2 linked regions of the Rattus norvegicus genome follow. The protein of the gene in region 1 purifies or fractionates together with the protein of each later gene. This does not show direct contact. Links are inferred from orthologs where the notes say so. Each region holds a gene or a part of one and is shown in the gene's direction. Other genes may lie near its edges. The genes, in order: Nod1 and Ripk2.

Region 1 (17,054 bases):
CCCTGGTATCGAAAACTAAGAAACGAAATGTAAAGTTCAGTGTGGGCTCAGCGGCAGAACAGTGAGGACAACGGAAAGGAGTGAGCCGGGTGATGGAGCAAGAGCTGCCAGGGTGAGGGGAAACGAGCAGCAGGTTGGAGGCAAAACCAAAAAGCTAAGAGATTCCGGAGCCCATTTGACTCCTAACAGAAGAGCCGACATGTTGGGAGAGGTCAGACTGCCGAGAAGCCAAAAAACATCCTGAGGTTTGCCAAGGACAAAGTAGCTGAGTGGGCCCCATGCAAGCCCAAAGAAATGCACACCAAAGCACTCCATAGTCCGTTTGGGAAAATCAAAAATTCTTGAAATTAGTGAGGATTAATGCTTTAGAGAAAAAGCAGTTTCGGTGATATGATGTTTCCCATCAGAAATGGTGGAGCCCAGAAGCTGCACACTTCGTGGAGAGCTGGAAAACCCCCAGAACCATTAACAATGAGGGCAAACTAAGACATAGACACGTTTTTAAAATATTATTAGTCATCCTGCCCAAAACAACGAAGAAAATAAACAGAAAAATAATAAAAGGAGGAAGCTTTGCACATCAGAAAGATAAAAAGGTCACAGTGAGAAAAATTAGGATAAGTACACTAGGATCCCTTCTCAAGCTCCTGATTCATACCTAACAACAGCACACAAGTTGTAATCCTAACTGCCAAGCTCATAAAATACAGAGCCTGATTAGAAGAGGAAAGCCAAGAAGATAAGCGTCCGTATTTGAATGTGCAACACCCAGTAGGCACCCAATAAAGCAAGTACAGAAGAGATTTACTCAAAAAATTAAAGAGAAACTCATTATGAGAGGACAAGAAGAAAGCCAGTGTGTGTGTGTGCGTGTGTGCGCGCGTGTGTGCTTGTGCCTATAATCCCAGCACTTGGAAAGCTGAGGCAGGAGATCATAAACATGACAAGGTTCAACTAAAAAGCAAAAATAAGATGGCGGTGTTATATTTCAGTATATCAATTATCATATTAAATGTAAGTTTCTAAGTGTATGACTGGAGTTGCCAAAAAGGCTCTGGTAAGAGTACTCACTGCTCTTGGAGAAGACATGGATTTGGTTCCCAGCACCCACAAGATAGCTAACAGCCACCTATAACTCCAGTTCCAGAGGCTCCATAACCCTGTCCTGGCCTCAGACACCAAGCATACAGGTGGTACACCTACAAACATGTGGGCAAACACTTATGCATGTAAAAAAAACCCCAAACATAAATATAATTAAAACATAGAAACTGGCAAAGTGATTTAAAACAGCCCAGCCTTGTGGTGTCTACAGGAAACTAATGACAAGCAGTTTGAAAGGGAGTGGTGGACCAAGATCTGGATGCAGGCGTAAGCCAAAGCAAACTCGTTCCCGTGTTAGTTTCAGATAAGGTAAGTTTCAGAGCAAAGGAAACAGAACAGTTGCTAACCTTACCTTGTTCATTTTTATGAAGTTAACATTAGCTTGGTACCCGAACTGACAATACAAAGAAAACTAACCCACAGGTGAGTGTTCTTGATGAGCATGGGTTTTTAAAAAAAAATGCTTAAGGAAAAAGTTAATAGAATTCAGCCATACCTAAGGGTTGGGAGTCATAACAAAGTGGGGTTTATTCCACAGATGTCATTCCACAGTGTGGTATTTACAAATCTGTCAAACCACTTCAGGGAGAAAAGAAAATGAAAAGGCAGCCACACACCCACTCACAATTAAAGTATTTTAAAAATTAGAAAAGGGGACTAATAATTTAACAGAGTCTATAAAAATTGCAGTCGGTAACATTACACTCAAAATACCAAATGTTTTACCTCTAAAACAAAAGGATCCATGCTCTCCCGTTCAACACAGTGAGATGTTACAGCCTGCGCTGTAACTAGAAGAGAGGAAAGGAGCCCAAAGACTAAAGTGGGCGGGGAGAAGGTGCTGCAGGTAAAGCACGTGCTGCCAAGCCTGGAGACCTGTGTTTGAGACCGAGACTCACATGGCGGAAGGAGAGATATGACCCCTTCAGGTTGTCTTCTGACTTCTTTTTGCTGACAGCTCCCCACCCTTACTTTTGCTCCCTCAATATCTCTGTCTCTCTCAATGTAATAATTAAAAAAAAAAAACCAGTAAGCTAAACCACCCCCATTTATACATGGTTGACAAAATTGTCCTCATAGAGGATACCAGAAAGTTTTTTAAAGCTCTATAATCAATTAAGTCTAACAGGGCCATGGGATACAAGGTGATATACAAAAACCCCACCATGTGCCTGTACACGGGAGAGGAACACATGGGCAGAGGAGGTAAAACGGCTGCACCACCTGGAGCTGGGGCTCAGGAGGCAGCTCGCTCGCCCAGGCTGTGTGCGGCCCTGCACTTCAGTCCCAGCACAGCAGAAGTTAAAAAAGCAATAGTGTGAGCAAAAGTTCAAGTAGTTAAAAGCACTAGCTGCTCTTCCAGGGGACTTGGGGTCTGTCCCCAGTACCCACCTGGAGGCTCTCTACTGGCCTGCACAGGTATCAGATATGCACACAGTACACATACATACATGCAGGTAAAACACTCATACACATACACTAACAACAACTAAGAATACCACTTGCAGGCTTTTTGCTCTATTTTTATGAAATAGCCATTTTAAAAGCATTTAAAAGCATGATTAGCATTTTGTACAGTGTTATAACCATCTCCAGTTCCAAAACATGTCACCTCCCAAGTGAAACCAGGTACAAAAGTCTTGCCCATTCTCCTGCCCTTGTGAAACTCCAGACTGTTCCCCATGTATGTGGATTTAATGGTCGTGTATATTTCGTGGAAGTGGGATCATACAGGTGCCTGTTTCTATTGTCCCTCCAGTGCCATGTCCTGAGCTTCAGCCTCCCTGTAGACACCTAAACCTCACATCTACTGTAGTGACTAGCATGAGTTATGTGCATATGCCACACTTGTTTAACCTTCCTCCCATCATGGGCACTTGGATTGTTCTCGTTTCCAACTACTACGGATACTTCTTCCGAAAACATTTATGTACACATTTTTTGAATCCTACTTTTCAACTATTTTGGATTTATACCTAGGGGGAGGATGATGGATCATATGGTAATTCTATATATTTAACTTACATAACCACCACAATTTCCCACTTGGACTGGAATATTGTAATTCTGACCAGTCATGTACACAATTACACAACTGATTTTTTTTTAAAAAAGGAAGAATTATTAGCTACACACAGTGGTGTGTGCCTATATTCATTGCTCTTGGGAGGTGGAAGAGGGAAGATTGTGTGCTCAAAGTCTCCATGGACCACACAATGAGATTCTGTCTCAAAATAATAGCAAAAAAGAAATGAAGAACATGAAAATGGTGAAGTGTAGATCTTACAAAGCTATGAGCAGGGTGTGTAGTGAAAGCTACAAAATACTGGGGAAAGAAATCAAGGCAGAGATAGGTGGATGGAGAATGGTAACAGTCATGTGTTGAATGAGCCAAAGATATTATTCGTGGGGAAGATCCATGGTAAAATTGTTCCCCAAACCCAGAACAGACTTAGCGAATCTGTTGTCAAAATTGTAACATGATTCATTTTTATAGAACTGTCAAAGTGGAATAGGTAAGGGGATTTTTTTAAATGGCAATAAAATGAGCACTCATAATTGCTGATGAAGGGATGAGTACATAGGACGATGGAGCAGGATGAATACATAGAGCGATGGAGCAGGATAAGTACACAGAGTGATGAAGCAGGATGAGTACACAGAGCACAGAGCGATGGAGCAGGATGGGTACACAGAGCTGAGCAGGATGAGTATACAGAGTGATGGAGCAGGATGGGTACACAGAGCGATGGAGCAGGATGAGTACATAGAGCGATGGAGCAGGATAAGTACACAGAGTGATGAAGCAGAATGAGTACACAGAGCGATGGATCAGGATGAGTACACAGAGCGATGGAGCAGGATGAGTACATAGAGCGATGGAGGAGAATAGAGAACCCAGAGAAGAACCAAGAATACACCAAAGTTAACTTTTGGCCAAGGTAATTTAATGGGAGAACCTTTATAGCAAACGATCCCGAATCAGCAATGGAACACTTTATTAGGAAAGGGAGGATTTTAGATTCTAAGAGTAACTGTTATAAACTGACCAGTTGGGGCTGGAGAGATGGCTCAGTGGTTAAGAGCACTGACTGCTCTTCCAGAGGTCCTGAGTTCAAATCCCAGCAACCACATGGTGGCTCACAACCATCTGTAATGGGATCTGATGCCCTCTTCTGGTGTGTCTGAGGGTAGCTATGGTATACTTATATATAATAAATAAATCTTTATAAACTGACCAGTCATGGTGGCATAGACTATAACCCCAGAACTTAGGGAGGACCACAAGTGTGAGGCCAGTCTGGACTACATAACAAGACCCTGTTCAGGAAGACAGACGGACAGACAGACAGACACTATTAGAAAAAAGATGTAACTGCCAATTTTTAAACTTTTTTATTGTTTGTGAATTTCACATCATGCACCCCAATCCCACTTACCTCCCTCTCTCCTAATACCTGCCCTCCACCCTTGCAACCTTCCCCCAAAGAAGAAAAATAAAATCTCATTGTGGAAGCTATAGTGTGTCACAGTGTGTCATATTTAAACTCTTTTGTCCACACTTTTTTTGCTTTCAAATGGACTCATTAGGTTGAATCCTTCTCTGGTTCAAGGCCTCTGACTTCTGCTACACTATCAATAATGGAACCTCACTGAGATTCTTCTTGGCTGTTTTGTTGTTGCCCTGTGTCATGGAGATCCTGTAGCTTTGGGTCTGTGGGACGAACTCCTTCATGGAGTTAGATATTGGGGAGGGCCAATTCAAAGCTGTGAATCTGGGCCTGAGAGGCATCTGAACTGGTTGCCCGCCAGTTATTCTGCACCCACACCACCGGAGTGAGCTCCTCTGCCTTGCTTTGGATAGGCCATCTGAAGCTGTCATCAGTAAGGGCAGAGCCAGCTCTCCCACTCTCATGCTCTCTTGGCTGGCTCATCCACACCCACACCATCAGGGCCAGCTCTCATGTGCTGCCTAGGCAAGGTGCAGGGCCCACTTTCCTAAGTGTTGCAGCCGGCGAGGGATTGGGCCAATTCTCCTACTCTCATAACCCAGGGCCAACACTCCTGCTTGTCATAGGAGGCAAGGGGCCAGGGTGGGGGAGGGCCTCTCTCCCTGGTCCTTGTCACCATGTGGCAGACAAGTTATGGGCCAGCTCTCCTACGTTCACACCCTCTGGGCTCACTCACCCACTCACAATTCCCTAGTCCAGGGCCAACCCCACTGTGCTTCTTGGGTGATGTGCAGGGTGGTTGCGGACAACAACGAAGCTCTTCTAAGTACTGCAGCTGGCTAGGGGAGGGGACAACTCTCCTAGTCTCACACACCCCCAGGGACAGCTCTCCCATTATGCTCAAGCGAGTGGTGGGGCCAGATCTGTCTGGCCTTTGATGGTAACAGACCCTGCAGCTGCAAAGCCATGGACCAGACATGACCTCCAGTGGCAGCACAGGCCAGGACCACACCATGGTCCCAGGTCCCGGCTACTCACGTCAGGCTCTTTCTCACTACCCTCGAGTCTCCAGTTCTGCCTCTCTTCATTGTGCTCACATCCTTCTGCTTCCCTTTCTCCTCCATTTCTCCACCACTTGCTTGCTCTTCTGGTGGTGCCCAGGGTCTCTCAGTGTCTGGGGTTGTCTCAGGAGTGGTCTCAGAAGTGCTATGTCCTGCTTGTGTATTGTCATTTCTGGCATGGTTTCCCCAATCCCCCACCCCCACCCCCAGGCCTGCTTGGTGCCAGACTGGTGATTGTCTTGAGCTTGCTCCTTGCCTAGGCTGGCCCACATGGCTCCACATGGGGGTTGTCTAGTTGGGGCTCACTTCCACCTAGGGCCCACAGTTCCAGGGTCCCATGCAGAGTCCATCTAGTCTTTGGCTCACTCCTCAACCTGGGAGCTCACCTGGGCCTTTGCAGCACCAGAGTGGTGGTCTTCTCAGGCTCTCGTGTTAGGCTAGTAATCTTTCAGTTCATAGATCAGAACACTGAGCATAGACATAGTCTCTCTTCTCTGCCACCCACTGACATTTATGTCACACAGCAGACACACCAGCAGTGCCTCTAGGGGCAGGGGAGCTGCCAATTTTTAGAATCTAGGAATTGGCAGAGTTCAGACTTGACTCCAAAAGTATGACCCATTGAAAGGAAAACCAGTAAACTGGACTGCATAAAGTGAAAGGGCAGGCACAGGGCTTAGGCATATAGCTCAGTTGCTAACAGTCCTTGCCTGGCATGCCCTGGACTTGGTCCATGGTGTCTGTCCATGGTGGCATTTGTTTTCAATCCCAGCTCTTGGAAGGAGATGCTCAAAGTCATTATGATGGTTTGTATATGCTTGGCTCAGAGAGTGGCACTATTAGAGGTATGGCCTTCTTGGAGTAGGTGTGTCACTGTGGGCATGGGCTTAAGACCCCCATCCTAGCTGTCTGGGAGTCAGTATTCTGCTAACAGCCTTAAGATGAAGATATAGATCTCTCAGCTCCTCCTGCACCAGGCCTGCCTGAATGCTGCCATGCTCCCACCTTGGTGATAATGGACTGAACCTCTGAACCTATAAACCAGCCCCAATTAAATGTTGTCTTTATAAGAGTTACCTTGGTCATGGTGTCTGCTAAGACGATCATTTTTGGCAATAGTTTTAGGACAGCTGAAACCCTGTCACAGAGACAGAGAGAGAGAGAGAGAGAGAGAGAGAGAGAGAGAGAGAGAGAGAGAGGAAGAAGAAGAAGAAGAAGAAGAAGAAGAAGAAGAAGAAGAAGAAGAAGAAGAAGAAGAAGAAGAAGAGGAAGAAGAGGAAGAAGAAGAAGGAGGAGGAAAAGAAAAGGAAGAAAGAATTGGGAAAAATATTTACAAGCCACACATAGACACTCTCAACACACAACATTTAGGAAATGAACAAGAGACACAGAGACGTGTTTTCCTCAAGAGAAGACACAGGTGGCATGTAGGCACATGCACGAAGTCCAGCATCATCAGCAAGCTAAAACCACAACGATGTCTCACCAGGACCATACAACTACCCAAATGGCCAATATGAAATGGGACAGCACCAGACGCTGGAGATCCGCTAGGAAGCAGTCACTTGGCTGGTCAGTAATGGAAATGTTAAATGTTCTGGCTATTTCAGAAGACAGCTCAGCAGGCTTTTGAGAAATTGATGACAAAGGTGAAAATAGCCCCCAAAAGGTAAAGAGTGTTTTTAAAGTGCTATAGGAACTCATGCCTCAGAAGACTGCCCAATGACAATAATAAAAGGGAAGTCACCATGGATACAAGCAATGGTCTAGGTGAGTCCTCTTAGGATTATACAAAATGAAAACAAAACAATCGCAAAATAATAGAGCTGGCGAGGCTGCTCAGTGGGTAGAGGTACCTGCTACCAAGTCGGAGTTCAGTTGGCCCCAAATCTGCATGGTAGAAGGAGAAAAACAAGTCCTGCCATTGTTCTGTGACCTCCACATGTGCATCATGACATGTATGTACTCATACACTTACACACACACACACACATGCACACACACACATGCACGCATACACGCGCGGGTGCATGTGCAAACACACACACAAATGTAACACAGGCTTTCAAAACGTTATCTCTAAGTGCAGCCTGATTCCATCTGTTTAAAAGTCTTGATAACTTCCTAGAAATGGGAACAAGTTTATGGTTTCCAGAGGCTGAGTACGGTGTAGGATGCTGTAAAAGGATGCTCGTGGTGGACCTGTTCTGTATCTTGACTCGGTTAATAGTCTGTTTTCTGCTTTCCGTAGTTTTTGTGCCGTAGCTCTACAACACTGGGCCAAATTGAATGACAAAAATGTGAATCTGCATTATTTCTTCCAGTTCTTTATTAATTTACAGTTATCACAATATTAAAAAAAAAGTCCCGGGGTTGGGGATTTAGCTCAGTGGTAGAGCGCTTGCCTAGGAAGCACAAGGCCCTGGGTTCGGTCCCCAGCTCCGAAAAAAAGAACCAAAAAAAAAAAAAAAAAAGTCCCAAATAACAAGTAAGGGAACAGCTGTCTCAAAAAATGTAGATGATAGTGTTAGCAAAAAGAAGACTAAGAATGAGCAGTGGGCAGGCGGTGCACAGTGCGATTGGCCCTGGATCCGTCTCCAGCATTGCAAACAGATCAGACTTAGAAGAAAAACTTTCCTTTCAGTCACTTAGCCACAGCACTGCAGCACACTGCAGCACACTGCAGGGGGGGGGGGGGTTCTCCTTTCTCGCAAGAACACCATTACACACCGCCCCAAGGTGCTTGCAAACTTTCGGTTTTGCTTTTCTCAGAGGGTCAACTTCATGCGAGTTTTCATAGCCATGACTGTATGTGGCCACAAATCTGAAAGCACTTTTGTTTAATTGGCAATAATGTTTAAAAATATTTATTCAGAAGGTTTATTCGCATGTAATTCCTTACAGTAAATAAAGAGGCTCTAGAATATTCGTGGTCAAGAGAAGACTTAACCACAGACCGGGAGAAAGCCTCTGTCTCTGAAGTAGATCAAACTGAAATTTGTTTAGTGTATAACAAGCCTTTCTGCCCGGGTCCTGGCATTGGTTGTGGTTACAGGCGCTGGGTGGCACTCTCAGGGGGGCGGGCCTTGGCTCTCGGCGCCGGAGCAGAGCTGGCCTGACGAGTTCCCAGGGTGTCACCCCTGGGCTAACTCCGAGGCCTGCCCACTCCCCCTGCGCAGTGGCCGCTCGTCCTGGTGCAGTGTGCGGAGGCTCCCGCCAGGGAAATGGGACAGGGGGCAGCGCTTATGGCCGGTCCCCGCCTCCTCCGCCCTCTCCGCCCTGTTCCCTCCCCTGAGCCCACCCGAGCCTGGGCGCGGCCGGTCCTAGTCCCCGCCAGTTCCTGATCCCAAACCGCGAGCGGCAGTGCTGCTGTGCCGCCAGATCTGCGACCCTAGTCCAGGATCCCTGTGCTGAGAGCCGCCGTACTCCAGGGCCACCTGAGCCAAAGTCCTGCCAACTTGGTAAGTCATGGGGTTTGGCGCGGTCAGCTCTGTAACCAGCTGAGGAAATGTAAGGCTATCTGTGGAAGAGCTATGGCTGAAACCCGATGGGGAGAGACCCCGTGCCCCATCCCTCACCCAAGTTTCAGAATCAGCCCTAGTTCAGACAGCAATGGAATCTAAGGCCCGCGTTTTCAGACCGCCTGCCTGCAACTTAGAATAAAGTGTGGACTTAGCAAATCCAGACGCCCAGACTATTCGACAGAGTTCTGTCGGAAACTCTATAAACTATTGCTTCAGAGCTCCCTGGGTGATTCCGATGTGCACGTAGGATTAGGAGCCTGAGACCGATGGGTAGCCTCCAAAAGAAAGTGCCTGCTGACCTGGACCTTCCTGAGTGCAGCCTGCAAACAAGCTGTCTCTTCCAGGAACCTCCAGTGGTCCTGGGGACAAGGGAGGACTTCCCTTGAGTTTCGTGGGATACAAAAGAAGGAAGCAAGACAATGCTTGTTTGGCAGAGTTGCCCGAATTTCAAACTGAAAAGGTCCTAGAGTATGCAGTGTTTTCATAGGTTGTAAAAAGCACAAAAATGGATAGATAGATTGCCGAGGACCTTTGGTTCTGGATCGCCTGAGTTACTGGTATTCGAAATTGCCTCGGGAAGCCAGAGAACCCTTGACAACCGCCCTCCATCCTTTACGGGTGAAGCCAAAGGTATAGAATGGAGTCTGATTGCCTACTCAAAAGCAGCCTTTCTGCTTTAGAGGTTGAGAATACCTGGAGCGTCACTTCCAGGATGTCTGTCGGAGAGGAGAGGTTTCAATGTTGTATCTGGGAGCAGAGACCAGTGTGGCAGTTGTGATCCTGGAGCCACTGACAAACAGACATGCATCCTCATGTAATGCTGGCCAGAGAAGAGGCAGACTTAAAACCCAGGGCAGGGGTAGAAGAGGGAGGGCCCTTGCAAAGGCCACAAGAGTTTTGTTTTCGTAGAACGTAGACCCAGTAAACCTGGTTCCAATCTTTGAATCTGTCGCTTGAGTGATGTGATTGGCTGCATGTTAAAAATGACCCGTGTGAGCCTCTCTTTTCTTACTGGTAAAGCCTAGACAAAGAGAAGCTTAACATAGGCTAAGGTAAAGTCCATCTCACACACTATGGTCCACAGCAGGGGCTCTGTTACTGGAAGACAATTATCTATTTGGTCTAGCCCCTATGACGGAGTGTGTTTGTCCAGAAACTGTCTTCCTTAAAGCCTCACTCTCCTGCTATTCTATACCAAATATATTTTTAAGACAGCTGGGCTGTCAGCGAGAGTCAAGGTTGATGCAGCACACATGGCTTTCTTGCTGGCAGTCGCCTGAGAGATTGCACCCAGCGTCCCTGTTCTGCTCTTGACTCTTGTCCAGGGGCCTCTTTCATCAAAGACAGTCAGGAATCTGTAGAAGAGAATTCCAAATCCTACCCTTACTGATACCTACCTCCCAGCTGAAACTGTTTCCCAGCTGCCCGTTCTGTTGGGAGGACTGTCACTACCAGAGCAACGGCTGTAGCATTGTTTAGATAAGATGTTCAAAAATGTAAACTGTAAAGCCACAGAGGCATGGAGATCAAGTGTCCATAAGAGTATTTGTGGTCATTGATATTTGCTTCAACAAAAATAAGAAGGGTTCGCTGCTGAAACGAAAGGCATTTGATTCCTAGGATTGGAATGACAGTTTCTTCTACCCCTCTCCTTTGGAAGGTTTTAGGCAAGATGAAGTTAGGAAACCAAATACGTACTTGTTCTGAACTGCTGCCACAGTGAGCTATAGGTGTTTTGCAAATTTCCAGTGTCTTGTTGTCTTTGAGGTTCTGCAGAAAGCTAGTTGCATGCCCTGTGGCAGTCTGCTCTTAGCCACCTACAGGTTGTGACTGTCTCTGTGGAGGCTCAGAGAGGGCAGGCGTTTCATCTAAACTTGGCTCTGTTATAAGACGAATAGTTGCTGTCTTTTCAATTAACACATGGATTCAGCCAGTGCTGGAATACTGGCTAGCACGAGACTTCCTGGCTTGGATGCTTCCTTAAACTAGGATTTCATCTAGAATTGGCAGGCACCAAACTGTGGGCAGAGTCAGCCACAGCAGACTTGCCACCACCCTCCCTATTTGTCCTACTGCCAACCAATGGGGTGTGGGCTGCAAACGGATGGGGCGCTGTCCCGGCCTTTGATGGAACAGAGCCCCTAAAAGAGATTCACTTCTTTATAGCCAACAGGGGAGCGAAGTACTATCTTTCCTTAAAACCAACAGGCTACTGGTCAAACTCACTTTAGAGTTTGTTTTGCTGTCAAGGGATTTCCCTCTAAACAACAGAGAGCTGTATTTTAAAGGAGTAAGGACATGGCTGAGGACAAATGCACAGGGAATAATCCAGTGAGCGCCTGATTAGCGCCAGGTCTTGGTACCTTACTTCTACATGATGGAGACCGAGTTGGACACTGAACCTAAGACTTTATAGATACAAGGCAAGGGCTCTGCCATCACCCTCTTCTTACGTCTAAAACTTTGAATCAGAGTCTCACTAAATTACGCAGGTTTGGGGTCCTAGCACTTTCACCTCCTGAGTAGCTGGAATATATCTATACTATGTCTATCCCTATATGGTTATGTCTGTATGTCTATGTCTAGCTATTTATATATAGAGATTACTCTCTCTATAGAGATCTGTATCTCTATATAGATATGTAGATATAGTAGACATATCAACATATATTTCTGTATGTTGCTATGTAGTTTAGAATGGAGATGTCCCTTGCGGTTCTGTTGTATTGTCACCACCACAGAGATTAGGGTTGGAAGAAGTAAGGGTGGTAGTTAGTGACTCGGTGGATGCTTTAGCAGCCGTGTGCTGCTAGCTAAGACAGTCACGCATTACTGAAGAAACCTCTTTGGTAGACAGTTGTGAGAAGGTGGCATTTTACTTGGGAGACTATGGGTGTCATTCCAATTCCCAGAAGATTAAAAATGGCAGTCGCCAAGAACTTCTGTGCTGTGCTTCACCTTAATACAATCTTAACTTTTCTCAGTGACCCATGGAGCAAACTCTCTGGAAGGAACTAGATAGGAAGCTAGGCTTGCCCTTGCGGATAGGTAGTCTCTGTATACTACGGGACAACAGATCCCTCCTTGAGAGGATATTCCTGGCTCTGTTTAACAATGCGGTTTTAAATTTTATTTTAGTGTTATTGTATTTCTGAGGCAGGGTCTTACTAGTAGCCATGACTGGCCTGGAACTCTCTCTGTAGACCAGACTGACCTCTAACTCATACTGATCCTCTTGGTTCTGCCTCCAGCATGCTGGGTTTGAAAGCAGACATCATCGTGCCTGCTACAATGGAGATTTTAAAACCATGCAGTCAGGCTTGCTCTCTGAGGCTTCAAGTGCCGGCTCCTGATCTCTGTAAAGCAGAAGGATGTGGAAGAGGCCTCAGGCTTCACACTCAGAGTGGGGGTCACACCACTGTTTTCTCCCTTAACTAAAGGTGGTGTCTCTCCTCCATTCATAAAATAGGACATCCTTTCCAAACGGGTTGTTTTGAGCCAGTGATGAGCTAATCTGTGAAGCACTCTCCCCCTTGCCTAGCTTCCAGTAAGTAGTGATTACTGTGGTGACAGTAATAACCATGGGTGCTGTGGCTCCAGGGCTAGTTTTGCCATCTCCTCGTGTGTGTGACCTTGGACTGGCATCTGTAAAATAGGGGTCAAAGCTCATCATGATGCTAGGGTTGGTGAGACGGAGTGATGAAGATGTGGCAGACTGCAGATAGTAAAGATGAACTCCCCCAAAGATTTGCTGTGTGCCACACTGGGCTGAAGAATTCACGATGAGCTATCGGTTTGTTGCATCCAACACTGTACACACTTAGTCTTCTCAACACCCAGTAACCCTTAGTTGCGCCTCCCATCTTCCAGGCGGGACAGCTGAAGTCCCATGAGGTTAATGAACTAACCCCAAGTCCACAGTGTTTGACTCAGGATTTGAAGCCAGCCCAGCAAGCCTGGTTTCTTAATCTCCGCTGGATGTTCAGCGGAGCCCCGCCCTCTGCTGGCCCGACCCACCTCTCCAGCCTCCTACCTGTAATTAAGGGCAGGTGTGCGCACGTTTCCTTCAGAGTGGTGTTCCTGCCTGTTTAAGGAGTGAAGTGGGGGCTTCCTCTTGTGCCCCTCAGATGACTTAAACCCCAACCATTGCTTGGATGTAACTGAAAGGAAAAATGAAGTGAAACAAAAATATAGAAAACTCAAAAGCCTTGTTACCATTATAGACCTAATTTTATTAGGGCGGATTATAATGTTTGCTTTGTAATAATGTCCCCTGGATGCAGTAAAGTATGCCTTTATGGTGGGCAGGTGTGTGCGTGGGTGAGGAGCACAGAACCCTACCTGGGTGAGACAGCGGCAGAGTTTAAGTCGTTCTAAGTACACCCCAGTTTTTGAATTTTTTACTCATCTCTCCCTCTCCTGCATCCCAATGGTTTGTTTCTCTTCTTGAGATCTCACAGCCTTCCTAGAGGTCTGTGTGGGGTAGGGTGGGGGTGGGAGGCAGGAGAGTAAATGTCAAGAATAAGTGGTAGGTGCTTTAGCATATCTTAGAATGAAGTGGGTATTTCTAGGGCTGTGAAACACTTGGTTGGCTCCTCAGTCTGGTTGGAAGACTGACGTAGAACTGTACCTCCTGGTTCCTCCTTGCTCCGTGGAGTTTCAGTTCTTCAACATGTTAATTCACCTATCACTGGGAGCAAGGATGTATTAATACTTGGGAGCTGGAGGGAGTGGTGGTGGTAATAACACAGTGATAGAATGTGTGTCCGGCATTCACAAGGTGCTGGGTTCAAGCCCCAGCATTACAAAACTCAAACTGAAAGCATAAGTCCCAGACGTTGTTTTGACTGAGTCTGTAGTGCATGCTTGCAAGGCCAGCAGTCTGGGGCTAGGCCTGGAAGAGAGCGGTGTGGAGAGAAGTCTGGGCTAAACAAAGTGTGTGGACTAATGGCATGTACAAGCTAGGATGGTCACCTGTATGGAAAACTATCTTAGGTTGTGTGTTCTAAACAACAGCTATTTATTTCTTTTAGCCCTGGAGGCAAGGAGTATGAGATTAGGTCTCTAGTGTGGTCAGGAACAATGGAAGTTCTCTAACTTGCTTACAGGTGGGCACCTGTGTCCTAGTGGGACAGAGAGAACAAGATAGCATTCTCTGTCACTTCTTATAAGTCCCCATGGTATCATTTAAACCTAAACATTACTCAGGGTCCTCCCCAAAGCTATCATGCTGAGGTTAGACTCATAAATGGAAACATGGACACTCAGTCGTTAGATAGGCAGGATGTGAACGCACAAGAAAATACATAATTATAAAATGTGCTGCTGAAAGGGGAAATGACACCTCTTCCTGAGAAAGAACATTCCTAGAGCTAGAGGCCTGGAGGTTTCTCTCTAGGGAGTCCTTCAACAAAGGGTTAGGGATGTACACAGGAGGGGAAGAGCATTTGGGAACTGGGGAACAGCAAGCCTGAAGCTCAATGTGGGAAGGAGCTACGTGGTGAGGATGAGTAGTTAGTGTGGGTATGAGTAGTGAGTGGTGGCCCTTGTGGTGAGGCCTGAGGCAGAAGAGAATGAGAGGAGCTAGAGAATGAGCTACCTCAGGCTGAGCAGGCTCCTGGGCTGAGAAAGGTCAGAGACTTTTATTCTAACATGCAGTAGAGGACTACTGAAGAGTCCTCCTGTAACTGTTCCATATTGTCAGTCTGCAAGCAAAAGACTACGGGAAAGTCTCAGCAGGAAGAGAACAGGAAGGCCTCGTGTGAGAAGGCCAACACTTACTTCTAAAACAGACCTGCTCTCTGGATAACCAGTCCACTCCCTTGAGAACCCCATTGCAACAGTCAGTTTTCATTGCTGTGACGAAATACCAGAGATAATCAACTTAAAAGGAAAAAGGGGTTGGCTTGGTTCATGGCTTCAGAGGTTTCAGCCATGACTGCTTGGTCCTGTTGTCTTTGTGCCTGTGATGAGGCAAAATATCATGACAAGGTGCTGGAGTCATGGTGGCTGGCATAAAAGAGAGAAGGGTCGACTGAGGTCCTACTAGTTCTCTCGGTGATCTGATACTGTGGCATAACACCCTTCCACCTACTAAAGGTCCTACTAGTTCTCTCAGTGACCTGATACTGTGGCATAACACCCTTCCACCTACTAAAGGTTCCACCATTTCTCAGTAACACACAGGTTGGTGACTATCAACTTCAATATGTGGGCTTCTTGGGGACATTTAGTTGTGGTCCATTGTGAGGATGGGATCCACATGACCCAGTCTCTTTCAAAGGTCCCACCTCCACATGCCACTAACGATGAGCTTGAAGATCAGTTTCCAACACAAACCTTTTGGGAGTCAAATGGTTAAAGGATATCAACTCTTGCACACTGAAGTTAGAAACCTTGTGCTGTTCCACTCCGGTACTGAAGAAAAGCAGGAAGGGGTGGGGGGTGGGAGGAGCAGGCCTGGGTTAAAGCAGGGAACAGTCTTGAAAGGGGTTGAGGGAGCAAACCTCTGTTAGAGAGTGACAGAGCTCTGAATGTAGGCAGAGTTTTCAACTTGGGGATAAGGAATCTTAAACTCAGAACGCAGTGAAAAGTGGGCCGAGAGCTAAGGGTGCCCCGCCTGGAGTCTCTGCTCTGGAGTTTCTGACACAGATAAGTGTGTGTGGACTCTTCTAGGCACTTGAACATCCTTCATCCGGAGCGCCAGATTCTAGTCCATCTTAGCTCCTGGAAGCAAGGACAAAAGACTTTCCAAAGTGAAATGAGGTTGGGACGAGGCGGGGTTAGAGGTTGCAGGCACAAAATGCTAGGTCCCCATGGCTCTAGGACAATATTTCAAGCATCAGTTCTGCCGTCTCTGGCTGAAAGAAGTGCTTTCCCCACCTCTATTATCTTTGAAAATCCAAATTCATCTACTAGGGAATTTGCATGTGGTTGGGAGGCACCTGGTTGGTTTTGTTTTGCCTTTTTGTTTTTAGTGATGGGGTTTGAACCCAGGATCTCCTAGGTGTAAAGTATGAGCTGCACTCCTGAGCCACAGACCCAGAATCCAGGGTTTGCAAAGAAAAAAAATTGTTTTGGTTTGACACTTTTAGGTCACAAAGATATGCTCTACTGAAGGGGAGAGCCCCACCTTGGCCTGCTGTCCTACAGCTAGGTGGCTGCACCATCCTGCCCTTCTCCGTTGCATGCACTGTGGCTGGTTAAACTGGTCTCCCTGTGATAGGAGCTCACTCATCAAGGCCTGCAGGCTGTGCAGGCTCTGAAGAGGACAGTTTGGGATGGCGGTTCTGTCATCTCAATGTCTCATTGACCCCCAGGGTCCATGCACACTGGTCCTCTCCATTTGGAAGCCATGACAGTTTTGTGGCCCTGATTCTGCTAACTGTGCACCTATGTTCAGGTGGGGCAAGACAGATTTCATGGCGCCCTTGGCCAGCAGTCAGCAGTGTGTTTATTTGTTCGCAGCCAAGCTCCACCTTAGGCTTCTGAGGTGAGTAATACATGCTGTTCTTAAGAAATGCCTTTCTTCTGAGAAGCCTCAGACACTTTCTGGGCACAGATCTGCCCTGTGCATAGCATCTCTCCCCCCCCCCCTCTCCAAATTAAAATTTAAATTACGAGTATTTATTTATTTGAGAGGGGGAATTTGTGGAGGTCAGAAGGTTAGGGTCTAAGAATTGTTGAAGGAAGACCCCACCCCAGCCTCAAACAGTATGCAAAGGCAAGAGCATTTATTCTGCAGAAATTACCAGCACATAGGGGTCAACCATTCATCAAAATGGCGGTGACTTGAGTAGGCCCCTTTTATGCAGGTCTAGGGGAATTTTCCAGAAGGGTTAGGTAAGCTTTAATATGATTAGTAGGTCCAAAGCAGTGACATTAGTACAGTTTGATTGGCTGCTCTGTTGGTT
Region 2 (13,716 bases), on another chromosome or scaffold:
ATTATGGGGGGTCCATACTAGGTACCATAGGCCCACGCACTGACTCCAAACCCAGGAGCCTACGCTTCAACCTCCCAAGTAATGGGGTTTCAGGCACATGCCACCACCTCTGATTTAGTTTTTCCTGTATCAACAGTCACCTTTGATTAAGGCCTAGACTTTAACTTAATCAGCTCTATCTTGGAAATTTTCCTGTTGCTGTAATAAAATACCCTGCAAAAGCAACCTACAGAAGGAAGAGTATATTTTAGGCTCAAAGCTGGAAGGTGCAATTGATTGCAGCAAGGGAAACAAAGGAGCAAATGCTTACAACAGGTGGTCAACTGTCCTTGATAAGAAGGGGTGGTGGACGCTTGTGTTTTTTGTAAATCGGGGCACAGTAAAAAAACCAACAAAAATCTGGGAGCAAGGTTTTTATTGTGATGGGGTGGGGGGATAGGGGCATTCAGAGATATCTGCAAGAATCCAGGGCTAACAGAAACAGAAGAGGACTGGGCATGTCCAAAATTTATCTGTGAGGAAAGCAAGAATAGCAGATAGCATCAAGAGAGAATTTCAAGACTAGTGTGCACATCAAGAAGGGGAGAGACTTGCTGTCATATAGAGACAGGGAGTATCCAGGAGGAGGGAATCCTGGGAATTACAACAGTCTGGGAGCTAGTCTGGAGGAGTGAGAGTAGGCATACAGCAAATCAGAGTGTAGATAATCAACAAGATAGCAAGCTTCTGGCTTTTCCCGAAAGTGTGACCTTTCTGGGTGACTTATCTGGGCATGTTCTAGGCACGGCATGGATAGGTCAAAGCTTGCACAGTGAGATACTAGGGACTTACACCTCTGTTTTCAAGCTGACCAATGCAAAAAGAGGGGGAAAGGAACCTATCCTATGTCACCAAAACACTCGAACTACCAATCTTCCAAGGGAAAGCAGATTTCAGTATCTATCTCCTCCCTACTTATGATCAGTCTGTTCTTCTGTGTCGAGTGTATGTTTGTGTGTGCTTGTGCATGTGTGTGTGTACTTGTGTGCATGTGTGTGTATGTGTACATGTGCATGTGTATGTATGCGTGTGCATGTCCATGTGAGTGTGCATGTGTGTGTGCAAGTGCATATGTGTGTGTATGTGTGTGCATGGGTGTGCACACATACTATACTTTTAATAAAACTTGATTGCTTGCTATTGCTGTGATTTTTTTTCCCTCTGTCTTTTAATTGTTTAATTGTTGGGGAAAACTGAACTCAATCCATGACCCTGGATGGTAACTAAGTAGAACCCAATACTACTACACTTGACTTGAAACTGGGCTGTTTTTTGAAAAAGTGTGTTATTTTGCAAAATGTTTGTATCTTATTTCTAAATGAGATGTGAATCTCTTAAAGCTGATATTTCCTAAACTAATGTAGTAAGACACAAATAAACTTTATTCACAATAACATTTAGGTATAATTTTGTAGGATTTTAAATAAATGAGTTCAACATATAGGTGTGGTACTTATTTTTGAGGCTAATTTGTCTGTTTTGTTTAAGTGTTTGTCTAGTAAATTCATTTCAATATTAATGTCTTAAGCTTTCTATCATTAACTAGGTGATTATGAAAATTAAATGTATATATTCACAAAAATCCATGTATGTATATACATACATACATACATATATGTACCCATATATTCTTAGTTAAGAATATATACTCATTATATTGAGTTCCTATTTTTAAACTTATATTTTTTATTTATGTGCGTTGCCTACAGAAGCCAGAAGAGGTGGTCAGATTCTCTGGAGCTGGAGAACAGGCAGCTGTGAGCCACTAGATTCGAGTACTAGTAACAAACCTCAGGTCCTGTGGAAGAACAGAAAGCCCTCTTAATGGCTTACCCATGACTCTAGCCCAAGAAAACATAATCTTAGAATGCAGACTTGTAAAAAAAAAAAAACTATTAAGAACTAGTGTGTAGGAAAGGAAATGTCGATGTTGTATACATATTACATTACTAATATAAGGAACACATCACAGATTGCAACATCCTGGTGGGTGTAGGATCATGGAACTATATCGCTCATATGAGATACTTGCCCCAAACGTCGTACTGAACAGTCATTTAAGTAGAAAGGTGTTTAAAGTAAAAAGATGAAATAGTGATGGCTTTTGGTTGTTTGGTTTTTTGCTTTTTGTTTTTGTTTTTGTCTTTGTTTTTCTTCTCGGATAGAAGACTTCCCAAACACAAGAAATGGTTCTATTTTTCAATTTGTGCATAGGCCTTGGGGAATAAAAGGAGAAAGAGTGTCCTGGTAAGAGAGCTTGTCACAGAAGCTAAACACCTCAATTTGTCACACTGACAACGCTGACCTCTCTACCTCACTCCTCAAGTGTCAGACACTGAGTAAAGATTGGGGCAAAGGCAACCACATAGTAACAGCGCAGGAAGTGGGGCCTTAACGAAGTCACCAGACTCCCCAGTCACCCCACACCCTATCGCTTCTGGGGTTTGGAAGCTAAGGAAGACACGCAGGCCAAAGGAAAATCCAGCCGACCCACCTGACACCGGCTTGGAGGACTGCGGAGGGATTTTCCCCAGAGGAAAACTTTTCCAGGCCTCAGTGGTGCCCACTCGGCTGTCGAGGGAGGGAAGCCTCTGACACTCGCCTGGGTTAACCTCATGAGCTGCAGAGGGAGGGAGGAGCGGGCAGAGGGAGGAGCCGGCGAGGGGAGGAGCCGGCGGGGGAGGAGCCGAAGGGGGGAGGAGTCTACAGAGGAAGAGCAGGTCGAGGGAGGAGCCAGCAGATAGTGGAGCCTGCAGAGGGAGAAGCTAGCGAAGAGAGGAGCTTGCAGAGGAGGAGCCAATGGAGGGAGGAGCGGGCGGAAGGTGAAGCCAGAGGACCGACCAGCTGGCGGAGGAGGAGTTGGCGGAGGAGGAGCCCGCGGAGAGAGGAGCTAAAGAAGGGAGGAGCCGGCGGAGGAGGGGCCGGCGGAGGGAGGGGTCGGGGTAGGAGTCGAAGGCTGAGGAGCTGGTGAAGGTAAGAGCCCGGCCTAGAAAAGCCGGCGGAGGGAGGAACCCACGGAACCCAGGAGGAGGGCGGAGGAAGGTCCGCCTCGGCGCGGCCGCAGACCCGACGGGCTCCCAGGGACAGCCGGCCGGGCCGGAACTGCAGAGAATGGGCCGCCCCGGGACCTAGCGCACCGCAGCACGGGCCGCGGCCAGGGTCGGGCGGAGCCGCTGCGCAGCTGGAGCCATGAACGGGGACGCCATCTGCAGCGCGCTGCCCCACATCCCCTACCACAAGCTCGCCGACCTGCACTACCTCAGCCGCGGCGCCTCAGGCACCGTCTCGTCGGCAAGACACGCGGACTGGCGGGTGCGGGTGGCAGTGAAGCACCTGCACATTCACACGCCGCTGCTCGACAGGTAGGGCGCGGACGTGGGACCCCACGCAAGTGCGGGCCGACGCGTTATCATCCTGACCGCACTGATGGTGATGCGCCGGCTCCGCCGCGGCGAGTCCTTAAGTTTTTGGGCTATCCTGGCCCAAGAGAGAAATTGTCCTGGACCTGCGTCAGACTTCGCAACTCGCCTCTCCACCGCCCTGCCTCTCCTCCCATCCAAGGTGTTCTTTCTCTCTCTCTCTCTCCAGAACCCTGCAATCACGGCCACCTCTAAAAGTGTGTTGGTACAGTGCTTGTGGGCTTTGCTCTATTTTAGCTAGCTGTTAGTCACAAGAGCTGTGGGGCTCTGGCAACTGCTCTTCGAAACGAAGTACTAAGCAGTGAGTGCAAAATACACACCGGATTTTGAACATTTAGCGCCTGTGTGTGTGTGTGTGTGTGTGTGTGTGTGTGTGTGTGTGTGTGTGTGTGTGTAGTTTTTGTATTGATTAAACGTCAAAATATTTTTCTAGGGTTTTATGTGTGTTTCACTCCATAGTTTTATTGAGCAGTGCTGCTCCTGAGCCTGCGTATTATGTCTTGGTTTGGTTGGATTTTGGTTGGTTTTGTTTTGTTTGTGGTTTATTACGTGCACTCATGAATTTCGGATATCAAATTCTACATTACCAGTTGTTATTCGAGCTCTTGCTTTGGAAGTCCCCAAAGGAAGTGTGCTCTGTTTTTGTAACAGTAAGATGAATCAAAAGCTATTAAATGGTCAAAACTTGTGAAGATTGAAAACAAATTTGACCATCCCTTGTCCTGGCATTATTTGGATCCAGCTCCCATATATTCAGAAGAAGAAGAAAAAAAAAAAAAGCATTGGTTTCTGTTTCCAGGAAAACATTACAACTAAATACCATAGATCTGTGACTGTATGTGTTAGTCAATGGGTCTAGTCAGAACTCTTCGTATTTTTCTTCCATCAGAAACTGAGCCGGACCTTCATTCAGTCCTTAGTGCACTTGCTAACACTGGTGGTTGCAGTGTTCTCTTCTCCTGGATCTAGTGTGGAAATACAGATATCATAGTGGCCCTATTGGTCAGAGGCCATTAATGCTGGGTATCAGGGCAGTTCCAGCATCAAATAATTCTCTTGCTTCAGCCCTGATAAAATGTTAGACTTTCATCTGCCTGTGCTCTTTTTTTCCATTATTGGCAAGATCACATTGTAGTAGTCAATGGAGCCAGTGCTCTGTGTGTGTGTGTGTGCGTGTGTGTGTGTGTGCGCGCGCACATGCATGAACACACAGTAGTCAACATTAAAAGGGAGGTTGGTTAGGAATCAAGCAAATAGTCTATGCAAATGTAGCACTAATAGACCACTATCTATACTAAAGCTAGTTGATTTTTCTTACTTTGGTTTCTGCTTTTCAAGGCTTAAATTTACCTAAGCTTTGTTTGTGTCATTTGTAGGCCGAGGGATAAAGATGGGAAAAAAGTTGTTGCTTTCCCAAATTCGCCAACCACTTCATAGTATAATTCCGTTGAATTAGATAGGAAAATACCTTTATAAGACCAACAAAACCCCCTTGCCCTACTGCATTGCACTCTTTTATCTTGCTGTCTAAGATCTTTCCATGAGCACAGGCCTAGGATTATGCAATTGACTCTGAGGGTATCTTACTTCCTCACCTATAAAATATGAATAATAAACACTATACATATACTTGTGGTGCTCTGGTGTGGATAATGTACCCATTGTTCTTTAAGATTACCTGAAAAGAAAATAAGTTTATGTGACGTTACATGTTATTTTAACAATTAGTGAGTCACTCTCCGTAGCCAATGAGTGGGACTTCCATAGCAATCTTCCCGCTTTAGTGAACTGCTGACTCCTGTTGGCTGTTCAAGTACCCTAGAGATGGATAGCTGTTTCCTATTGAAATTTTGAGTTGGGTAATTTTAGTGATATAATTATTGAAGCTATATTTTAAAAATCTTTTGCTTTTATTTTCCCCCTCAATCTTGTTGAAATCTAACCTCACAAACCATCTGATTTGCTTTTCTCATCAAACAGTAGACTAGGAAAAACAGACTTTACCAGAGCTACAATTTAAATGTGACTTAAAACCTGTCGCTTTGTGTTGTGGTCACCAAAGGATCATTCGTTTTTCTAACTGTAGATGCCCCATATGTAAAATGGAGATAATGAAACCAGCTCTAGAGAGTTGCCCAGGGTTTAGAGTGCATATAAAATGGCTGACAAGGAGGACGAATACATCATACCTTTTCTTGTGTATATGTACATGCATGTGTATATACACGTAGGGGATGCATGTGCTGCTCCACATGCATGATGTATAAGCCAGGGGTCAACCTCAGGTGTTGTTCCTCAAGACCACCTCAGGACCACCATTTAGTGTGAGAGTGTATGTGTGTGTGTGTGTGTGTGTGTGTGTGTGTGTGTGTGTGTGTGTGTGTTTAATGTTTTGGAGTGTTCATTATTGTTGGCTTTTTTGTCTGTATTAGGAATTAAACTCAGAGTCTCCGGCTTGTATGACAATCACTTTACCGACTGTGCTGTCTCCTAATCCCTTATTTCATACTTTGGACAGAAAGAGGAAAGGTTATTTTATATGTATGTGTCACTGGAACTTCTACACTGTGCCCTCTCATTTCAAGTGTCCAGGGATCTTTGGGTTCATCCTGTAAGGCACTACACAGCAACTGTCTTGTTGACCCATATCTCTTGGGGCAAACACAGAACTTGAGAAATTGAAGTTTAATTGGATGAGCTTCACAGACTGATAGAACTGGTTTCTTTACAGCTGAGATCAGGGACAGAGAATAGGGACTTGGTTATGTTGCCTTGCACCTCTTGAATTTAGAAGCATAATATATTTTGCCTACTCAAAGACTTAATAACCTCTAACTATGGTTGGGTGTGTGTCCCTGAGTCTCTCCGTGTGCTTTAAGTAGTCTGGTCAGGAATGTCTGTTGGTATTCTTATTTCAGCAGTCATTCGTCCAGGGCTCGGGTTTCTTAAGAGCCAACTAATCATCATCACTTACCCAATAGGCTTCTCCTGGAAGCATTTCTATTTATGTCATCGCTGCCAACACCCATGCATCTGGGCATAAGAAGATGGTGTCAATATCAGCTCTCCCCCATTGCTTCTGCTCATTGAAGTCCCTTATAGCCAGTCAGTCCTGGCTCATACTATTCTTTTCAGCCAGTGTTTTCTTGTCTTTCCACTACTACTTTATCAGTTCAGGCTCCCTTGCTTTCTATCTGAACTATTGTTACAATCTTCAAAGTTGTTCCTCTTTCTCTCAATCCCATCTCCTGAACCAAGACCTTTATACCTTCTTTTACTGATTTCTTTTCTCTCGCTCCAAACCTTCCATTGCACCTGACGTGAGACAAAGTGGTTCGGGGCATTTTAGGGTCCCAGCATGCCACTTATGCCACCCTCCCATACAGACACTCTTTCATAACCTAGCTCTCTTGGCACAGTCACAGCCTTACTTTCACTTCCCCAATTCATTTGACACGTGGCTGTCAGACATGCACTCTGTTGCTCGATAGTAGGCATTGCTGTAAGTCCTGGGGATGGATACACACGTGTGCAAAAGAGAAGCAAGGTCTTGCTTGTGGTGGAGGCCCCGTTTACTTCCTGTGCCTTCTCTCTGATGTTGAATTCTAGCCATACTTCAGGTTCCATTGAAAGTCTACCTATTTGAAGACTGGTGGTGACTTTACCATGCTCAAAATTCTCTCTCTTCTGAATGCCCCATAGTTTGCTTCTCTCTCTTTCTTTCTCTCTCTCTCTCTCTCTTTCTTTCTCTCTCTCTCTCTCTTTCTTTCTCTCTCTCTCTCTCTTTCTTTCTCTCTCTCTCTCTTTCCTCTCTCTCTGTGTTATATAAATATATATTTATATATGTATATTATATATGTAAAATATATGGTAATTATCACATTATTCTTTGTATTATTTATTTATTTTCCTTATCTGAATTATGGGCCTTTAAAGGCAAAGATGCCATTTTGTCTTTGTATGTGATAAAATGTGTCCACAGCACTATTTGATAATCACTTTTATTCATGATCACCTAAGAAAACACAGATATGTACATTAATGATTCACTACAGTAGTAAAATTACAGGTACAAAGTAACAACAAAGATAATTTTATGGTTGGGGGGTCACCACAACGTGAAGAACTGTATTTAAGGGTCACAGCGTTAGGAATGTTGAAAACCACTGGCCTAAGCTATTACATCCCCAATGTTAGAATGTTTTAGAGTTCATGTTTGGAAAACTTTCCTATGGCACATAACAATAAAATGTAATGTTCTTCTAATCAAATGTGTTCCTTTTAGTATAAAATAATCTCGAAAATTGAATTAGCTCAAGCATCAGTCATTCTAACATAGGTGGATTTTTGGAGCTTCCTCTTACATTGTTCCTTCCCTTTCCTAGAAAAAGCACAGTAACGACCCATGTGCTGCGCTTTGACTGTTCGTGGGAAGTACAGTCATCAGCATGCGTAGCCCTCTTCCCACCAGTGGTTAATGCAAGTTATTTTGACTGCCCTCTAACAGACCAGTAGAGTACAGACAGTGGATAGCATCTCTATTTTGAATATGGTCAAGCTAAGGGACACAGACGTTGAAGCTACGTAGCTAATTAGTGGGAGAAATCCAAACTTAATTAATCTGTGTGCATGGTATTTGTAGGTGTTTTTCATTATCTGAAATAATTGTCTTCTTTTCCCCTTAGTGAAAGAAATGATATCTTACGAGAAGCCGAAATATTACATAAAGCAAGATTTAGTTACATTCTTCCAATATTGGGAATTTGCAATGAGCCTGAATTTTTGGGCATAGTTACTGAATACATGCCAAACGGATCATTAAATGAGCTTCTACACAGAGTGAGTACTGCTTGTTTTCAGTGGCTTTAACCATTGTTCAGTCTGCTCAAGCTAAATATAATATTTTTGTTCTTCAGCCATATTTCTTTGCAAGTATAAATGAATCATACCAGGTAGGCATGGGAAATAGAAGAAATTCATACTACATAGTTCACTGTTAAGTCATATATTATATTAGTGATGATTTAGGATCCAAATTAAGTATTAGCAGTTAGTGGACCAAGTAAATTATCTTCAGTGACGTGATACATGACATTTTTCCATCTATAGCAGTTTGAGCCAGTACTGACTTATTTCCCAAGGTATGAGTTACTCTGACTTTTATTTGTGAATCCTATCAACAAACACACTTGGGAGTCCTCATTCTCAAAATGCATATATTCTATTTTTATTTTTGCTTAATCTTACACACTGATTTTTTTTTTCCAGTCTGCGTTTTCTTTCAGAAATCATTTTAGGTCAGATGCTGCATTTTATGAGGATTTGAGCTAATTAAAGTTGCATACTACCTTGAACACCTGTGGCTCTCCCGCATTATACTATGCCACAGTGCTGTCTACGCAGGCGAGGGAAGGTGGGCACCGCTGTCAGCCACTCATGGAGTGACTTCCTCTTTGTTTCAGAATACATCGCATTCTATTCATGACTTGTGACCATCTGAAACAAAGACGGATTAAAGTAACTCGTGTCAGTCTGTAAGGTTTGTGTACCTGCCCCAGCAGTCAACTCACAAAGATTCCACCAATCAGCTTCTTTTTGGTTGTTTGAGAACTGGAGTTTAAGCAGAGATTCTAATCTTTTCTTTCCACATCCCTGTAGATATTCTGGCACCCAGATTTGGAGCCTACTGGAAATTCTGTAGCCTTCGCTAGGGGTATTGCTAACTCTTAGATGTGACCGTAAAGCATAGATTGCCACTGTCCCCTTGACTGCATGAGGAAAAGTCCCACATGGCACTGCCGTGCAGAGGCCCCGTTGCTCCTTTAAACTTCATAGTGTTTTGAAAAAGTTGCCTTTGTACAGACCAACAAAAGATTCGCTTACTCCTAGGCACTAAGCGTATGCGTTCCCAAGGAAGTAATACTCTGCGTTGGAATTTCCTATTCCTTTCGGTTCCTTAGTCTAGTACCCTGAATTATACACTAGTTACTCACCATGGAGTTTATCTTGAAGCACTCATCCCTCACATCATAAAAGATCATTGAATGAAAAATGGAGATATACTATAAAAACAGCCTAAAATGTTTTGAAACATCTCCCTACCAATTGGTAACTGAAATTTAAGCAAGTTTGTTTTCAGGATCATAAGGCCATTTTTAGCACTTCCAAAAAAAGTGACTTTTGCTTAATGTTTTTTTAAAAATGAACCCATGGGTATGGTGCCTGATTGGCATTACCACCTTTTCCAAAGTGTCTGATTTTTCTGAGTGTACACATTCTCCTGGGAAACCGAGTGAGCTTCATTTATTCAGAAAGAATTATTTTTAAAGAAACTCACGTGAATATAGGTTTAGAAACAAAAGTGGTCTTAGATTTCACAAAAAGAAAATTCCCAAAAGTTAATGTTTCAAGAGGTAAAGTCAATAAATTGTGTTATGAAAAAGTCTGAGCTCCAGTGGGGTGACTCAGAAGGACACAGACACTGTCACCCAATAAGACAACCTTGACCTGAGGCTGAGCCCAAAGCCTTTGTCAAGGTGCAGGGGAAGCACTCACTTCAGGAAGTCGTCCTGACCTCTACACTCACACTCTGACACATGTACCCCCTCACATGTATACACACAAACTATAGTAACAAATTAAATGTTTTGCTGATATGACATATTGACACTCCAAATAAATGTAATACACTGACAATTTTTAATTGATGTAGAGATTATGTGACAATTATAGTTTTAAATGAATATGAAGAGTTAAAATTTTGAATGGATGGCTTAGCATGTCAGAAGCAATGATACATGTTTTTCTCTGTGTGCATGTGCTTATGGGTCTAAGTGATTAGATGAAGCCATGGAACTCGGTGGTACAGGAGAGTGTAAAACCATGTGTCTGTATATACATACAAATAACTGAGAGCGGTTTCTTCTAAAGAACAAGACAGGAATGCCATGCAATGGCATGGCCAATAGAAGAAGAAAAACACCACTGCTGTCGTTATCAGGAACAATTCTAAAACTTAAAATATAAGAATATGAAACAGTATCAATTGATACTATGTTATAAAATTGAGTGTGCATTTCATCTTAGTTTGTAATCTGTTTCCTCGTGGATTTATTAATTTTTAACTGCTAAATTAAGGTAGTACTTTTCATTTTATTTCTTTCACTGTACAAAGAAAACTGAATATCCTGAGATTGCATGGCCATTGAGATTCCGCATCCTGCATGAAATTGCTCTTGGTGTAAATTACCTGCACAATATGAACCCCCCTCTGCTTCATCATGACTTAAAGACTCAGAATATCTTGTTGGATAATGAATTTCATGTTAAGGTAACTAATTGCGGGGCTGGGGTGTGGATTTCTCTGGGTCTTTTTCTTAATAATTCTGAAAAGGCGTTTCACTAGTATCTTAACTTCTGTCTTCAATACCACCTCCCTGTGGCTTGGGGCTGGGAAACCTGACTGGGTAGGTGAGGGAATGAAGCAATCTCAGGCTGCAAAGATCCAGGGGAGGAAGCTCTAGTTCCCAGCATTTGCACAAACTGCCAACCTTGCAATGGGACCAGGGGTTTTGCATTCCTATGGGTCTGAGGCATTGGGGGTCCTTAATATACATGCTCATGGCTCTTTGTCAGCAAGATTCATTCACTTAGGTGGTTTCAGCTCTCCATACTTCAGCCCCTTTCCTGAAGTGGTTCGGTTATTCTTGTTTGTTTGTTGTGGGACTGGGGAAGCTATGGGATAGCATGGAGGGTAGGCCGCATGTCCCCGCACACTTAGCTCTGTGAGCCCCCATCTCACCTTTGCCCCACCAGAGGAGGTCGTGAAACCCTGTATCCAAATTAAACTTCCTCTTGCCTTATAAGACCATGTCTAGCAGGACCTGGAATTCCTCCTTATACAAATGGGGCATCCCCATTTCCCAGACCCTGGCCAACAATGTACCCTCACCCCATAGTCCCTACTCACCTCCCACAGATTGTAAAAGAGCTGTCTCACTGATCTCACTGCCCTCTGAGGCCTCTCAGCTGCACACCATCCCCATCCCGCTCCTCCACTCTGACAGGCACTTTATATGAAACGGGTTCATGGGTATCCCGGCTTGGCATGGAACTCAGGAATCTCTTACCTCTGCCTTCCTAGTGCTGGGATTAAAGGTATGCACCACCACCACCACCACCACCACCACCACCACCACCACCAACAACAACAACAACAACAACAACAACAGCCCTGGCTTAAGGCTCAGTTATTCTTAAACTTTAGAGACAGGATTTGGTACAAAATAGCAATTCACTGTGTTTCTTAGTTACAGTTGTCAAAAATGTTTTACCTTTGTTTTCTTTTCTGTTTTAAAATTAGGGTAGAGTCATAGGAAATTATAAATGAACCTGGCTTCATGTACCCCTTACCCAGTTTCCCTGCATAATTAGAACTCAGCTTCCAGACCAGAAACTGGACAGGAATTGGAGATTTTTGACCATCTTTTGATGTGCTTCCCATGTCACCCGTATAGCCATCCGTGAAAAGCTTTTTCATGAGTCCATTTCCTAACTGAGTGTTTCATTTTTATCATTCAGTTTTAAGAACCCCATATATATTTTGAATGAGTCCTTCATTCATCAGATAATTTTCAGATATTTCTTTCAAATACTTCTCCACTGCTTGTGTTGTTCTCTCTCTCTCTCTCTCTCTCTCTCTCTCTCTCTCTCTCTCTCTCTCTCTGTGTGTGTGTGTGTGTGTGTGTGAGAGAGAGAGAGAGAGAGAGGGAGAGGGAGAGGGAGAGAGAGAGAGAGAGAGAGATCGATCATTGGCTATTCTGGTTGGCTAGAGACAGAATCCTCCATTCTCCAGCTCCCCACCGCTTGGATTGCAGGTGTAGCCTGCCACGCCTGGATTTTTTATATGGGTTCTGAGACATTAGGCATGTTTGCCCAGCAGTACTTTACCACTGATCCATGTCCTGGGCCCATTTTTATCCTTTTAACAAAGCCTGTCGCCAAGAAAAACTGGACATTGATCCAGCTTATCATCCTCTTCCCTTGTGCACCATGCTCGTGCTGTACCCTGTAAGCTCTGTCCCTTAAACTCTAGGTACTGACTATTTTCCTCTATGTTTCCTTCTAATGTTTCTTACTATTAGGCTTTTATACTGAAAGCTCATGTTTTGAACTTGTTTTTGTGTAAAGGGCAAGGCATACTGTAGCCCTGCATAGAATGGGGGAACGCAAATAAGGAGTAACTTCTGAGTTCTTAGTACTAAGTGCAGCTCACTCTGTTCTTATATGCCTATTGGTATAGGACACAGTGTCCTATACCAATTGATGATTTTAAATATTAAAAATGTTCAAAGAAACACTTATCCCTCCACTACTTAATAGAGTAGTTGGGCCAATAGAAAATTTTAACGGAGTCATGAGAAAAATTTTTAAAAATTACCGAATACACTTCCTTTTTCTTGATGTAAAATGGTAGTTTGGGAAGAGAAAGAAAGGTCAAGCTTGTAGCCCAGGCTTCCTGAGAGGGAGTGAGGGACTAGCTCGGGGTATCTCATCCTTTCTACAGGACCTGTGGTTACCTGCTGTCCTTGTGAGAGTCCCTGCTCCCAGAGGACACAGCATCCGTGTGAATAACTGATACTTTCTTAAATGACCAAACGTCCTTCCCTGTACTTTCGGCCATTAGTTCTACCTCGTGTTTATTGGTCAATGTAATAAATTCAGTTCTTCTCCGGTACAAAAGCTGTCCTAATATTTGGATTGCAAAGGTCCCTCTGCTTCTCATGTTCACTAGGCTATTTCCCTTTCTTCTGCTAAATAGCTTTGCCTCCTTTCATCAGCTCCTTGTTGTATGCTCTTTAACCTCTTGTTACATAGACGCATGCTTTAGCCTTAGTCTCACATTTTGATCCCTAGAACTGAACAAAATACACCTGACATCACCTGATGAATATGGATTTGAGTCTAAGAGTGGCTTTTGTGCCCCTACATACTTAATAAGTTTCTTATCAGGCACAGTAGGCCAGTGTTGTCTGTAATTCTAGCACTTGTGAGGTGCCAGCCAGTGGATGAGGTTTGAGGCCAATCTGACACTGAGACCCTATCACAGGAAAGAGGAAAAAGGGGAGAAGGGGTTAGTAATTTACCAGTTGCCATGGACAGTTATGCTACTCAAATTGGACTGACACGCAGAGGTCCCGAGAGGATTCTTTATGTTTGTGTTGTTATTGTTGTTGCTTTCACGTGTTATTGTTCAAGC

The links.
Region 2: the proteins of Nod1 (region 1) and Ripk2 purify together in Homo sapiens (affinity purification with western blotting; 4 studies listed by BioGRID and IntAct, with this or other methods). This does not show direct contact. The link is inferred for Rattus norvegicus from reciprocal best matches to the Homo sapiens genes NOD1 and RIPK2.

What each region holds. Positions count from the first base shown.
Region 1 is NC_086022.1:85,433,590-85,450,643, reverse strand, and holds the start of Nod1 (nucleotide-binding oligomerization domain-containing protein 1), read left to right. Parts: upstream 1-8,969; 5' UTR 8,970-9,078; intron 9,079-17,054. UniProt on the Homo sapiens protein: Pattern recognition receptor (PRR) that detects bacterial peptidoglycan fragments and other danger signals and thus participates in both innate and adaptive immune responses.
Region 2 is NC_086023.1:34,449,042-34,462,757, reverse strand, and holds the start of Ripk2 (receptor-interacting serine/threonine-protein kinase 2), read left to right. Parts: upstream 1-3,094; 5' UTR 3,095-3,228; coding exon 3,229-3,401; intron 3,402-3,412; exon of another isoform or gene 3,413-3,600; intron 3,601-8,143; coding exon 8,144-8,297; intron 8,298-8,920; exon of another isoform or gene 8,921-8,997; intron 8,998-10,632; coding exon 10,633-10,788; intron 10,789-13,716.